Linked DNA regions of Medicago truncatula. The protein of the gene in region 1 interacts with the protein of each later gene in a pairwise test. Links are inferred from orthologs where the notes say so. Each region holds a gene or a part of one and is shown on either strand. Other genes may lie near its edges.

Region 1 (7,446 bases):
TAAGATGTGTGGTTGAGATTACATTGGATCATCCGGCCACCGAACCATCAAAATGACCATAACATTTACCACAACAAAACATGACTAGAAGTAGTTTTCATAACCTAATTATTTACTAGTACTAGTTGTGATCTAGGTTTGAATTAGAAACTTGGTCATTGAACGAATGTTATTCGGCTATATTAACCATCTCACCTTTTTTTTTTTTTTTTTTTTATTACAGTTCACTACGTCACCATTAAAATTGATTGGGTTTAACAATTTAAAAAATAGATAGTGAAGTTTAATAATATAAATTATTTAAGTTTGTGATTTTGCTTGTGTTTGTATAAAATGCTGGTTTTAATAGTATAAATTTTTTGTTATTGAAAAAGAAACACATGCAAACAAAAACATGAATTAGAAGGAATAAACAAAACCAACAACCTTTTTGTCAACTCCATTACATCACAACTTAACATTAATTTTTTTGAATGGACACTGCAATTTAACTAAATCTAATTGAGGCCAAATAGTATACAACCTCTTTAATTTTATCTTTATAATCCAATCCAAATAGTATGCATCTGACAAAGTAAGGTGCATGCATTGACAACTGAGTAGTTGGAAACTTTTGATTCATTTTGAATTGACAACAGTGACACCTCAATGTGTCACTCTACAAGGTTTAATGATCTGAAATTTGACTCACCAATTTTAGTTCAAACTTCAAAAAACTTTCAAATATTTTTAGTCACTTTCCATGAGGTTGAACTACTACATCTCACAATTATGAGATAGTCTATTCAATTCTGATATGTGCCTTAAAAGCTAACTCAATTTACTCTTTCTCATTTTAGTAATTCATGCCATGAAATCGGTGCATACCTTTGCACTTTATAGTTTTCTCAGGTTCATGTACATAGCAAAAGTTTCAGTGAGTCAAAGACACCAAGGCATTCCTATTGTGAAATAACAGATTGGAATTGAGGTGTATATATGGTAATATATATTGAAAGAAGACAAATTTTATTTCTTTTAGAGCATGAGCAAAATTTGCTATCTTTGGATAGAATGATGCTACCATGTATCTGCGAAAAAGCTTCTTATATTTCCCTTTGATTCTCAAAGATAATATAAAAACATTCTCCTTTTTACTAAATATAAGATTTCTTTGCAGAAAAAGTGCTTATAAATATAAGCAATATCCTCTAAACAAAAATATAATATAAGTCACATTTTTAAATGGGAAATGTTAAGTATATTAAAATAAACAAAAGAAAAATAGTTCTTGGGATACTAGACAAAAACCCAAAAATCAAAGATGTGCCAATACAATTGCCTCCCAAAAACTTTAGAAAATCCAGTGAGATAAAACATTGGTGAAGAGAAAAAGAGTGCGTCATAACAAAAGCAAGCAAAAATAAAAACATATGAACGAAATCTAAAACAAAGAAGATTCTGACGATTAAGAAATAAATTCTCCTTTGATCGTGTATTTTCTTATAGGTCTATGATTAAGATAATTTATTTTTTCTTTCTACTTTTGAATTACATATTTCAAGTTGCGATTGAACCGATTCCATAGGTTTCTTATGTATCCATAGGTATTATTTGGATAAAAAGGTTCATTCTCTTTGTAAAAAAAGGAGGTAGAACCGATAAAGATTTCTTTTTTTATTTATCTCCAGAATTGACTACCTCATTTACGAATTGTTTAATACAACGAGATAGCGAATCTCACCAAGTAAAATTAGATAGAGAGAATACATTATTGACTATGTGATCAACACAATTGTTTTCTTGTTTGAAAATGTGGCTAACTCTTGTGAGTTGTGATATATACACAATATATTTCATGATAATCATGACCTTATATAAGCTTATTCAAATAAAGAGGAAATCACTTTGATTTTGACAAATATCATATTCACCCTAATATTGCTGTTTTTTCAGGAAAATCAGAGCCCAATAATTTTCATAAGAATTGTATCATTATGTGATTTTGCAATTTCCATGAAAGTGATTTCCAAAACTCCTCTAACGAGTTATAAATAAGCTCTAAAGTAGGAGTGGTTATAATTAATGCACAAGGGAACAAACACACAATCTTTTAGGGCTGTGACAAAATTTTCAAAACAGAAAAGTCCAAAATAAACAATGGAGAGGGAGCTTACAAATAAATGAGATTATAATTGCAAGAAGCCAATAACATCTTTATCTTTATAATAGGCTACAAAAATTGACTTAAAAATAATAATGCAGCAATAAGAGAGGTATATTCACGGTTTTTGATTCCTACCTACCTCACAACTTTCGTTCATTTTGTTTGTGGGACATAGCTATTTATCATAACACGTAAAGAAGTTTCACAAATGTGGTTCTTTGTGAGAGAAAAACTTAGTCCTAGTCACCCTATAAAGTAGGCCCTAGGTTTATAGGAATAAGATTGCAAATGTTAGTTGTTTGCATTAAAGAAGCAAGGGCAATTTTCATATTATAAACCCCACCCCCCTTTAATTCAATGACCTCATGCAACAAAATCTAATCCACTTTAAGATATGTTAGAAGCTAAACCTCTTTGTCAATCTTATAACACAAGGAAATGATGGACTAATTCCTTCGCTTGAATTATCATTCTCTTTTATTTCTCAAGGAAACTAGGGACTAATTTGAAGGATTAATAATAATTTAGGGATTATTTAATATATTTTTATAGTTTGTGGATTAAGTTGACAAAAGTGTGATAATATAGGGATCAAATTGATGGTTTATTCCATAAAAGATAGAGCGTTGCTTGCACTTTTTCTAAAAACAATTGAATTGATCAGTAACTCTTTAAAACACAAGAAATATAAAAGACATTTTTAACTCTGCCTAGCAGCGCAGTTTGTTGTCGGCTTGCCTTCTATTCATGTGTACGGAATTCTTAATATATATAAAAAAAAAAACTATCAATAAAAGGATCGGCTGATTCACAAAATATATTTTCATAAATCATATATAATCAAAGAACTTTTGCTCTTGGTTTTCATATTTTGTTGAATGAATATTATTGACCCTCCAAAATCTAACTCATGGGCAATCACATGGGAGAGAGTTAAGGAAACAACAGAAATAGGTTTTGAATGATATGGATAATACATGGTTAATGCAGAATCCTATAACTCAAATGTGAAGCAAAAATAGATGAGAAGTGACACATGCCTAAAGAGAGCACAGAAAGTGGGGAGGATCCTTTTTTTCATTGGTCAATTTGTTTTGCTGTCTTTCATGAAAGACAAATCCTAATAAGATGCTTCTTTACCTTCTCCTACGTGCCCTTGTGGAAACTTACACCTCTTTCTATTATAGAAAAAATTTCTGCACTTTCATTTTCTTCTAGGACAGAGAAAAGGCTTGGAGAGTTATAAGTGTCAATAAAAGAGAAAACAACACATGAAACAAACAAGTACTTTAACTCATTCTGCGAAGTACCATAGAACTTTGAGCCACTGCAACCAATGGAGAAGTTTGCCAGTTATTATAATAATAACATTCAACCAAATAGGTGAAATTAACATAAACTCTCTTCTCAAGGGTGTGATTGTAATTTTACTCCTAAATTTGTTAAGAGCCCTAATTTGAATGAGCTTATGGGAGGACCTACGTTATGGTATGGTCTGACTATAGCAACACTAGTCCAACTCAAATTTATTTTAAAAAATATTAAACTTTTACAATAGTAGGAGTTCAACGCTAGATTTAATGAAGAGAGTATTGAATTTTTACAATGTGTTGTATGCTTGAGTCAAGTATCATTATTTATAACTTTTGATATGTACAATTTATTAAGAATGATTGAGCTTTATCAAAATGATTTTATGGACGTGCTGGAAGTGGTGGTGCACCATTAGTTTCAGAATTATGTTAGAAATGTTCGAGGTGGCCTCAATTTTACAAAGTTGAAAGGACTTTCAGACCTTTGTGCAAAGTTTGTAAAAATAAACAAGTGCACTGCATTTGATGTGGTGTATAATCTTATGAAATTAGCTTTGGTTTTTCCAGTGGCAACTGCAAGTGTTGACCGTGTTTTATGAGTTATGAAATATGTTAAGAGTGTAACTATCTAAAAACATGAATGATTAATAGTTTTTTTTTTTTTTGAGAGAATGAATGGTTAATAGTTAAATGATCGTATTGTAACTTTTATAGATGAAGGTGTTATTTTAGCTCATTTTCATCAAATGGGTGATAGACTATTTTCTTTGTAAATTTAATTGTTACTTACTACTAATACATAAGTGTTTGTTATTTTTAGTATAATTTACTTTGCCAAAAATTTTAGCCTCACTAACAATTTATTCTTGGGTTCGTCCGTGAATGAGCTAAGGCTTGAAAAACATGTTTATAGTATCCCAAATTCTAATATGGCATCGGAGTCTATCCAAAATTCACCAGGCCACTTATTATTAGGTCACCGCTACCAAATCACCCGAGTTACGCTTCAGACGTCCTGTTGTCGGTGTGAGGAGTGTGTATTAAGAGTGCACATTGGATAAGATAAAGTCTAAAAATGAGTTTATAAGCGGTGGACAATCGTCACCTGTGGATATGGGTAGTCGTCACCTTACAAGCCGGTTTTGTAGGATTAGTAGACCTCAAAAATAAAAAATACAAACAAACCACGTACATCCTTAGCAATGTTGGAGTGGTTTCCGGGAATGAAAATCAGCATTATCTCAAAAATCATTAAAGTGAGAAGATGATTGATTATGAGTGTTCAACTTCAACTATAAATGCTTCATTGTGTCAAAAGAGTTACATTACATCTTCATATCTTATATCCCTTATTTCTCTTCCTTTTCTCTTCACACCAACACCGACTCACCTAGCTACACATTAACACACTCATGTCAACACTAAACCATCTTTTTGATCTTCCGGAACAAATATGCTATGTACAATGTGGATTCTGCAATACCATTTTAATGGTAACCATGAGTTTTCTAATTGCACTTCTTAAGTTCATGATATTTACTTTCAATACCTATTTTTTGTTTTCATTTTCTTCTTTTGTTTTTTAACTGTTTTCATTTCAATTGTGTGATGCAGGTAAGTGTTCCATGCAGCAGTTTGACAATGGTGGTGACAGTAAGATGTGGTCACTGCACAAGTCTCTTATCTGTTAACATGATGAAAGCTTCTTTTGTCCCTTTCCACCTTTTAGCATCTCTTACTCATCTTGAGGTCATAAGTTAAAGTCACATTTCCAATACTTTGTTTATTTTCTTATAGTTAGGTATTTGTATTATATACTAGATATTAACTTAAAAAACTATTTGTGAATATTTTCACTATGCAGCAAAAAGAAAGTAGTAGTCCAGATGAAGATGCAAACAAGACTTTGAACAGTAATACTAGTGCATCCATGATGACTTATTCTGATTGTGAGGAAGATGATGTAATTCCAATCAGCAATGTTGTCAACAAACGTATGTAACAAGAAGATAACTTATTGAGTTTGAAGCAAGTTTAGTATATAGTATATACAATAAAAAAAAATTATTTATTTGATGAATGAATCATTGTTCTATGCAGCACCAGAGAAGAGACAAAGAACACCATCAGCTTATAACCGCTTCATCAAGTAATTAATATGTCACATTAACAAAAGTTACACTTATCATAAACTTGTAAATTTTTTAATTCTAATATTTTGAGTATAATTTTAATGCAGAGAAGAGATTAAAAGGCTAAAGGCTAAAAACCCTGATATGGCTCACAAGGAAGCTTTTAGTACAGCTGCAAAAAATGTAAGGTCTAATTTTCAAAATCACATGATTATATATTGCAGAACCATGTTCAAAACTAACTAGCTATTAGTTCCACTCATTTAAAACTATAGGAAATTTTATAAGATTGGTGAATTATTCATAATCTTGGATTTTTTTTTTATATATATTTTCAGTGGGCTAATTGCCCCCCAACTCAGTGCAAAGGAGATGAAGAGAGCTGTAGCCAGACAGATCAATTTGTGGATCTTGACTCCCAAGTGGACCCCAATGAAGCAGAGGTAAAAACATAATTATTTGAAGATTAATTATCTAAGTTGTTTTCTTATAATTCACATTTAAGAATTATTTTAGCTTATTAAAACTTGCTATAAGTAGGAGATTCTTTAGGTTTGGCACTGTGTGCATTTATAGTGGTACTTGTCCCTTTCTTTATATCACATGGTGAATAGTAAAGGTATAGTCCATGCATTCAATGGTAAAGACTTTATACCCTCATGTTGTTGGTTTCCATTCACCATGACATTGATCCACCAAACTAGAAACTTCTTGCAGATTCTAAATACATTATATTATATTATTGACTGTCAAAAATTACCAAGAATTATAAACTAATATATATATATAGTTTTAAATATAAGTCAAAATTAGTCAAAAAATTTTATGTATTATGTACTAGAAGCAATGAGTCAACAAGAGTACATTTGAATAAGAGAGGCTAAAGTAGCAATATGACACTTCAATAAATAAATAAATACGTACAACAGGATAATACTAATATAAAATGACACAAAATAATCTTGTTATGTCTAGCAAGTCACTTTCATGACATGTAATTTCCATAGAAAACCCTACCTGTTTTTGTAATCTAGCAGTACTTGACAATTTTAATGACTGCATCAATATCACTTTTCAGGTGAATGAAGAAGAACAAGGATTCCGTGGAAGAAAGGTACCAAGAAATTCCATCTTGGAAAGGACACCATTTGAGTGAATGAATGAATAAGAAAGCTCACTCTTCTGCATATATGACAAGGAAGAAAGCTGCATGCATCTAATGAAGTCATTTTCCTTCTGAAAAAAAGAGATGCTCTTGTCTTGGTAATGAAACATGAATTAAGTAGGTTCAATCTAGAGATAACAATTTGTGACACTTTAGAGTTTGTTTAATAATTGACTATTTTATCTGACACCTTTTATCTGTTATCAACTCCATGAATTAGTAGTATTCAGGGTCAAAGAAATGTTTACCAAGTTCTCATGTCTTAAACTATAATAAGAAATTATAATTACAAAAAAAAGAAAAACTATAATAAGAAATTAAATATAAGCCAAACCTCTACAATCATTTTGACTAGAAAAAAAAAATTAAGAGACCGTCCAGGGTTGTTATAAGTGAAGGCCATATATCTCTTAAACAAATTTTGGTTTCAAGTCTTGTGGTTTGGAAAAAATGTAATTGAGAGAGGAGACTTCATTAGTGGTCCGTCAAGTATTCCCTCATATTTTAATCATAAATAAAATTGATAAATACTTTTTTAAAAAGGATAAGTTGATGATTACTTCGCATCAATAACATACTTACTAAACAATCAAAAATGTGTGGGGCTATATTTAATTTATTTATTTTTAGCAAATTACACATGAATAAATAGTAAAAATAGAAAGATTTTTTTAAAAGAACATATATGTT
Region 2 (7,259 bases), on another chromosome or scaffold:
TCCTTCAACATCTAACTATGATTTTTTGGATACAAGCGCACATCCTTTCTTAACTCCCATAAAACTTATCCTCATCAAAGCACTGCTAGAACAAACCAACACACCCCTACTGTAAATGCTCCTCCATCGACCACAAATACTCCATTCGTAAATACCATTACTATGAGTCCTACCTCTGAACAAATGCAATCGCAAACACAGACTCTCAGCCCTTCCCCATAACTGACCTCACCACAAGCTTCTAACTAAATAATTTCAACGCATACCCACCTCACTCACCTCAAATGACCACCAGAGCACAACATGAAAATTTTAAGCCTCTAACTTTTTAATCTTTATACCTCATCTCCAAAATCTAATTTTTCTTTGCCCATCAATCCCATTTATGCATTACATGATCATAATTTAAAAATGGCCATGAAAGAAGAATATGACGCTCTTATTGAAAATAAGACGTGGGACTTAATGCCATGCCCATCTAATGCTAATATTATTCAAAGTTTGTGGACTGTCAGACATATATATATATATATATATATATATATATGATAGATCCTTTAAGAGGTGCAAATCCCATCTTGTAGGTAGTGGGGTCAGTTAAAAAAATGGTATTGATTATAGGGAAACCTTCAACCCCGTAGTCTAAGCATCCACTTTTCGGATGGTTCTCAATGTTATTATATCACTAATCATAGTGTTTTCACTAATTAGATGTCGAGAACACATTTTTACAAGGTAATCTTGATAAAACTGTCTACATGTATCAACCACCAGGTTTTCACAATCCTTAACATCATGATTATGCATTCTTGCTAAATAAGTCACTCTTTGGACTTAAACAAACACCTTGTGCTCGATATTAGTGACTTACCCACTACGTTGCTAACTTGGGTTTCTCTAACAACATCTCCAATCATTCCTTATTCATTTGCCACTGAGGTAATGATATAGCTTATATCCTTCTCTATATGGATGATATCATTCTAGCCGCGTCCTCATATTTCCTTCAATAATCCATGACATGTAAATTGCTCTGAATTTTCTATGAAGGATTTGAGTCCTCTTAGTTACTTTCTCGGTATTTCTGTTATCAAACATACAAGAAGTATTTTTATGTCACAAAAGAAATATGTCGAGGAAAATATTGAGCGTGCGGGTATGGCTTCTTGCAAACCATCTGCTACACTAGTGGACACACAAGTGGAACATAGTGTCTCTTTTTGCAACCCATATCATGATCCAAGTGAGTATAGTAGACTTGTTGGAGCCCTACAATACTTGACCATTACAAGACTATGTATCTCTTATGTCACGCTACAAATGTGTTTGTTTATGCATGATATAAAAACAAAACATATGTTTGCCTTCGATATATTTAGGGTACTCTTGATTTTGGTCTCCATCTATATCCTTCCTCCATTTATAAGCTCATCACATATACTGATGCAGATTGGGATGAATGTCTAGACACCATAAGGTCTTTCTGTATATCTTGGGGACAACCTCATCTCTTGTCTACCAAACAACAACCTATATTGTCTTGATCCTATGTTGAAGCTGAATATTGAGGAGTCATGAAAGTAGTATCTGAGTAATGTTGACTTAGGAATATTATTTTGGAATTACATTGTCATGTCTCAAAGGTTATATTAGTATGTCGTGATAACATAATTGTCGTGTATCTCTATGGTAATATCGTTCAACATAAACACACTAAGCACATTGAGATTGATATTCATTCTTCAAAAAAATTACTTGTGGCCAAGTTTGTGTGTTATATGTTCCTTCATGATATGAAATAGTCGACATCTTCATTGAGCACTTTCCACGGCAACTCTTTGATGACTTTTTACCTAGTCTCAACATTCGGCAACTTCCAATTTCAATTACAAGGATGTATTAGAATATGAAAATACATTTTAAATTTTGCATGTATCTTTTATATTTGGTAACATCTTGATAGTCAAGATAGTAACGACTTGGTAATTTTACTACCTAAGATTGTATGTAGCTTCGGCAGCATATGATACTTGCGCTTCTTCATGGAGGTACCACTGTTACCCAGATGGGCTTGTAACCCACAGACGTGGTTCTAAACCCACACCACATGCGTGTTTGTGGCTTCTAGTTTATCATGGCAGTTGGTTCATGGTGGTTTGTAGTTCATGGTGGTGTTGGTTTTTATGATGGATCTCGTCGTGGTTTGTGGCGGTGCTTATGGTGGTTCGTTATAGTTTGTGATGGTAGATTTGAATCGAGATCCAAATTTTCGGTGGCTGGTGAGTTTCACAAGTGTAAATATGTTAAAGTACCAATGTCTAGTTCGTTAGATTAGGCTCGCCAAACCTATCTTCTTTTTCTCTTGTTCGAGGAATTAGGGAGCTGAGCAAGACGTGGAGATTGATGTTGTTGGTTTGGGAGTGAGAATGTTAATGTTGATTTTGTGTGTGGTTGTAAGTTTTAGTTGTGGTGATGGTGATGACGAGTTTGTGGGTTGGTTTTTTTTTTTTTTTTTTTTTGGGGGGGGGGGGGTTTCTTTTGTTTGTCTTCCATTGTCTGCTTGTAGTGACCTTCAAACTGGGTCCATCCCCGCCACTAGCTCTTTTCCCATTGTTGGGTTTTTTTTTATTTTTTTTTATTTTGAGTGTTTATATTTGGATTGACTTTGAGTTGGACTCTTTTTCGAGCTAATTATGTTTGCGCCACCGCTTCCACCTGTCGATTGTCTGAGGGATTTGTCTTCATGATTCTTATGGGCCGATCGCTTTTGCTTGGAGATCAGGAATTAGTATCTAGTTTCAAGTTTTTGGGATATTATGGTGTATTCCAGTGTACTGGAGTTTCAAGGGATGCATTTAGTGATTTCTTTTATGGAGTCTTGTGGAGCGATCACTTTTGCTTTGAGATCAGGATTCTGTTTCTAGACTTAAGTTTTTTTTGTTTGCTTGGTGTTTTCTCTGGCAGGCTGTGTGTCGGTTGCTTGGGCTCATATGAGGTGTGGTTATAGGGTTTTGGTCAGGGTTTTTTTTTTGGAGGAGTTTTGGTGCGAGTAGAAAATTTGGATGAAGTTTTTGTTTTTGTTGGTGTGTCGAGGTTAGACTTTGATTTTGGTGTTGATGGTTAGTTTTTGTATTGAGTTTTGGTGGTATCCCTCGGTTGGATAATATCTCTATTGGTGGTTTTTATGTCTGAGATGTACAAGTTTTCTTTTGATTGTTCAGTCTATATGCAACACTCTTTGTTTGTTGTATTTTTATCTTGTCTGTCTCTATTTATCTTGTGTAAGGATGTTTATTTATAAAATTTTGCCGTTTAAAAATAAAATTAAAAAAGCTACTTAAGATTGTAATTTAAGTACGATACTTGATGTTTGGTTTTACCATAAAAAACACATGCAATCAGAAAAATAACCAAGTTGAAGATGTCTACTCACTTTCTGTTATGTCTATCAACAGTAACAACCATCCTGCATAATCGATTATCTTTTCATCCAACGGTTCACATGTATTTCACGTTTCCAATGAGTCTTTTCATTGTTTCCAACCTAATATTTAGTTTCCTCTTTACAGAAATAACTCTACTATAACTTTTGTTTGAGTTAATTACTAAATGATTTTTATAAATATTCAAAACTTCAAATTTAATCACTACAGAATAAAATTTAATATTTTTTAGTCCATGTAGAATTATTGTCAAGACTTTTAGTCTTCGTAAAATTTCCACCAACATTTTTTTCGTCTTTCTAAAATTTTCTTCAATAATTTTAGTACTTCAAAATGCCAAAGAAAAATGTTACATGGACAAAAAAAAAATGGTTTTAATTTGTATGGATTAAAAGTAAATTCTAAATATTTATACAAATCATTTACTTAATTAAACTAACATACAGAAGCCCTGCGTTTGTTATCAAATCCATCATATTATAAATTTTTGAAGGAAAATGCATCATATTATTATTCACTTAATTTTAAATCTTACAAAAATTACCAACTTAATGGTGTCATATTATTATTCACTTAAAAGCATGTTTTTAAAGAAAAAAATTGTCAATTTATTATATAATAATTTGATAGACTAGATTGATATACATCCAACAATTTGCACCTTTTTTTTAAGGAAACAATTTGCATATTTTATTCTTTTATGTTCATTATTATATATATATATATATATATATATATATATATTTCTGTTGTGTTCTCTCTCTGTTACTACTTTTTTCTACTCTCTTGCTTTCTGTTTTCTCTCCATTCACCACAACCAAACACTTCACTTTTCTCTGCCTGGTCTTTGCACTTGTCAAAGTTTTATTCTTTCTGCAACTTTGAAGAAAAATAAATTTGTTGTTATCTGATTTTTTCACCACAAATGGAAAGAGAATTCCTTGGCTTCAGTTCCAAAAATAGTCCATGGACTACCATGAAAGAAGATGCTTCCAACAAACCAAAAGACCAAGGTATCAATTTTCATCTTTTTCTATTTTCCATGAAATATTTTGCACTAACACCTATTATTATGGCGATGTGAAACTTGAAAATTTTGCATTTTCATTAAATTAACTAAAACAGCTGTTTTTTTTTTTTGTCTTTTATATATATATATATATATATATATATATATATATATATATATATATATTTGGGATTTAAGTTTTATATTTTTATTTATTATTTAATCATGCATGGGGATTTAAGTTTTATGTTTTGAATGAATTTTTGTTTGTTGTTTCAAAGATGAAAAAATGAAGAAAATTTAGCTTAAACTTGTAGATAATAATAAGGGTTATGCTATCAAGTGTCCTAAGGGTATTATTGTTTAACAATTTTATTATAAAATTTTTTATCTTAAAAATATAAGTTGAACACATGTAAAAATAATAATTACACAAATTTTTATATTAAAATTACTACTTTTAATTGTTTAAACAATGTTTTAAAATATTTGTTAACATATTTCCCTGATAATAATATAATAATGAAGAACAAGGAAGAGAAGAATGAATTTGTAGCCTTATGTTCTTTTGCTTTTTTTTCCTTTAATGGATAAGATTAAGTTCAAAAATTTTAAGGTTTCATAGGGTGAACTTGTTTAAGGTTATCTAGTCTAGTTAAAAGACATTTTAGCTGCAATTTGCAGCCTCCTATGCTACATAATTGAATTAATAAGGTAAAGTATATATCATACAGCTACTTATGTTTGCAAGGAAAATCTTATATTAGCACATGGCTAGGGCCATGTGATACTTATGGTTCAAAGTTGATGTTTGATGTGTGGTATTTATTGTTCAAAGTTGATGTGTGATGTGTGGTAGGGAATAGCAACTTGCAACTGTGTTGTAAGAGGGAAGCCACAATTATTGAGCTAGTTGATATATAGTCCATGTGCATATAAGTTTGAATTACATACATTACCACCCATTGCATCAAAAAGAAAAAAAGTGTGTTGTGATATAGGGTCAAAATAAAATAGATGTGGGTCACTTGATATTTTTATTTTACACTTTTTATAACTTTACCCTATTGATAAAAACTGTTTTATTATAAATATTTATTATTTTATTTCTTTTTCATTGATTAGGTTTATGTCATTTTTTCTTTTTTTTTTAATCTATCTTTAGCTCAAACATAAATATTACATTTTATTTATTTAAATTTGATCATAAAATAAATGAATATAAAGTTAAGCTCATGTAAAATCTTAAGACTGATTATTTATAGAAAAATTAAGAGTATAATTTTATTTTAAATAATTTAGAAGCAAATATAGCATCAACATTTCATTTAATTCTATGTATCAATTGGTCGAAAAGGTTCAAATTCAAAGTCATTCATATTGGTGGATGAAGGCAGCTAACATTGTTTATGTGTTCGGGATTCATAGTTGGTTTGCTAGTCCTTTGCTTTGTTTGGGTGTAGGCTACATGTGTTTGATTTTTTTGTCTCTGAGTCTTTTGACTAAACTCTTGTATAATTATGATCGTTCTCTTCTAGCACTTCTTGTGCGGAAGGAACAAAGTCTTTGTTGTTGATATAAGTTTCATTTTTGCCTCTTAAAAATAAAACATTTCATTTAAATTTGTTTTTTTACAAAATTCATTTAGTTTTTTTTTAGAAGGAAACCATTTTTTTATAAAATTATTATTAATTTCTATGTGTTAGTGTTGATCAATGTGGTGTACGTGTCAATGTGAGTGTGAGACACATTTCTTGCTTATAATAATAAATTATAAATTGTAAATGCTATATTTTTTTGGTTAGATGGTTGGTTACAAAACTTATGTTAGAAAACGTGCTCTTGGTTGTTTGGTGGTGCTCTTTATTCTTTATATATTTTATTGCATAACGTGGTCCTTCATTTTCTTGATTTTGATGCAAAATTATAAATATTTAAATGCTTAAAGAAATACATACCACTATCGTATGTTTTTTAATATAAAATATCGTGGATCCTGATGTATGAATGAGAGTCTAAAAAGAATAAAAATATGTGCCTTTATCAATGTATATAAACAAACAAAAAAAACAAATCACCATGTTTAATATTAAATCTAAGGTCTAACATGGGCATTGATGATGCATGCATAGCCTTGAGAAATAAATAACATTTTTTTTATGTTAGTGACAAGCTGGTTGCAAAGAGGTGCACATAAAATATTCATATACAAAGGAAACATTTAATAAAAACAAAGTCATATCATAAATTATTGCAAGCTACTAAGAATAGTACCATTTAGTACATTATATAATTATATTATATGATGATGGACTATGATTAAATAATACTATGCTTCATAAGGAATTACAATTTTTTTTTCTTGCTACTTTTGTTATTGTATTTTAAATTTATATGCCGTACCTGGCCAGTTATTACCTAGATAACAATGAAAATAAACTAATAACAAAGTAACAAGGTCACATGTGATATGATTATATATAATATGTAATATAATCTTTTAAAAAACATGGACTCTGGATTCTTGTGATGAAAGTTCTACAAGAGCATCTTCTAAATATTTTTATGGTAGATTAATTTTTTTATTATTTCATAGCTGTTGCTAAAGTTTTTCTATTTATTTATTTTGATGGGTTAGATGAAATATAGGTTTGTGTGACATATATCATATTCATATGTGTCTATATATATTGAAGTATAGTTTACAACACTTTGTGATCTTAGAAAGCTTGATGAACAAAAATTTCTTAGTAACTTAGATCATTGTCAATATAATCATCATTGTGCTTTTTCTTTGTTTAAAAAGG

Evidence for each region. The genes of interacting proteins can lie anywhere in the genome.
Region 2: the proteins of axial regulator YABBY 4 (region 1) and protein TIFY 6B interact in binary tests that used the Arabidopsis thaliana proteins (3 or more experiments, as listed by UniProt). The link is inferred for Medicago truncatula from reciprocal best matches to the Arabidopsis thaliana genes INO and JAZ3.

The regions. Positions count from the first base shown.
Region 1 is NC_053046.1:14,608,305-14,615,750, forward strand, and holds axial regulator YABBY 4, read left to right. Parts: upstream 1-4,780; 5' UTR 4,781-4,871; coding exon 4,872-4,952; intron 4,953-5,073; coding exon 5,074-5,208; intron 5,209-5,323; coding exon 5,324-5,453; intron 5,454-5,559; coding exon 5,560-5,608; intron 5,609-5,698; coding exon 5,699-5,774; intron 5,775-5,929; coding exon 5,930-6,034; intron 6,035-6,669; coding exon 6,670-6,747; 3' UTR 6,748-6,943; downstream 6,944-7,446. UniProt on the Arabidopsis thaliana protein: Essential for the formation and the abaxial-adaxial asymmetric growth of the ovule outer integument.
Region 2 is NC_053047.1:33,188,277-33,195,535, reverse strand, and holds the start of protein TIFY 6B, read left to right. Parts: upstream 1-4,188; 5' UTR 4,189-4,368; coding exon 4,369-4,456; intron 4,457-7,119; exon of another isoform or gene 7,120-7,258; intron 7,259-7,259. UniProt on the Arabidopsis thaliana protein: Repressor of jasmonate responses. Jasmonoyl-isoleucine (JA-Ile) specifically promotes COI1-TIFY6B/JAZ3 interaction. Acts as a negative regulator of MYC2 function. Feed-back regulated by MYC2.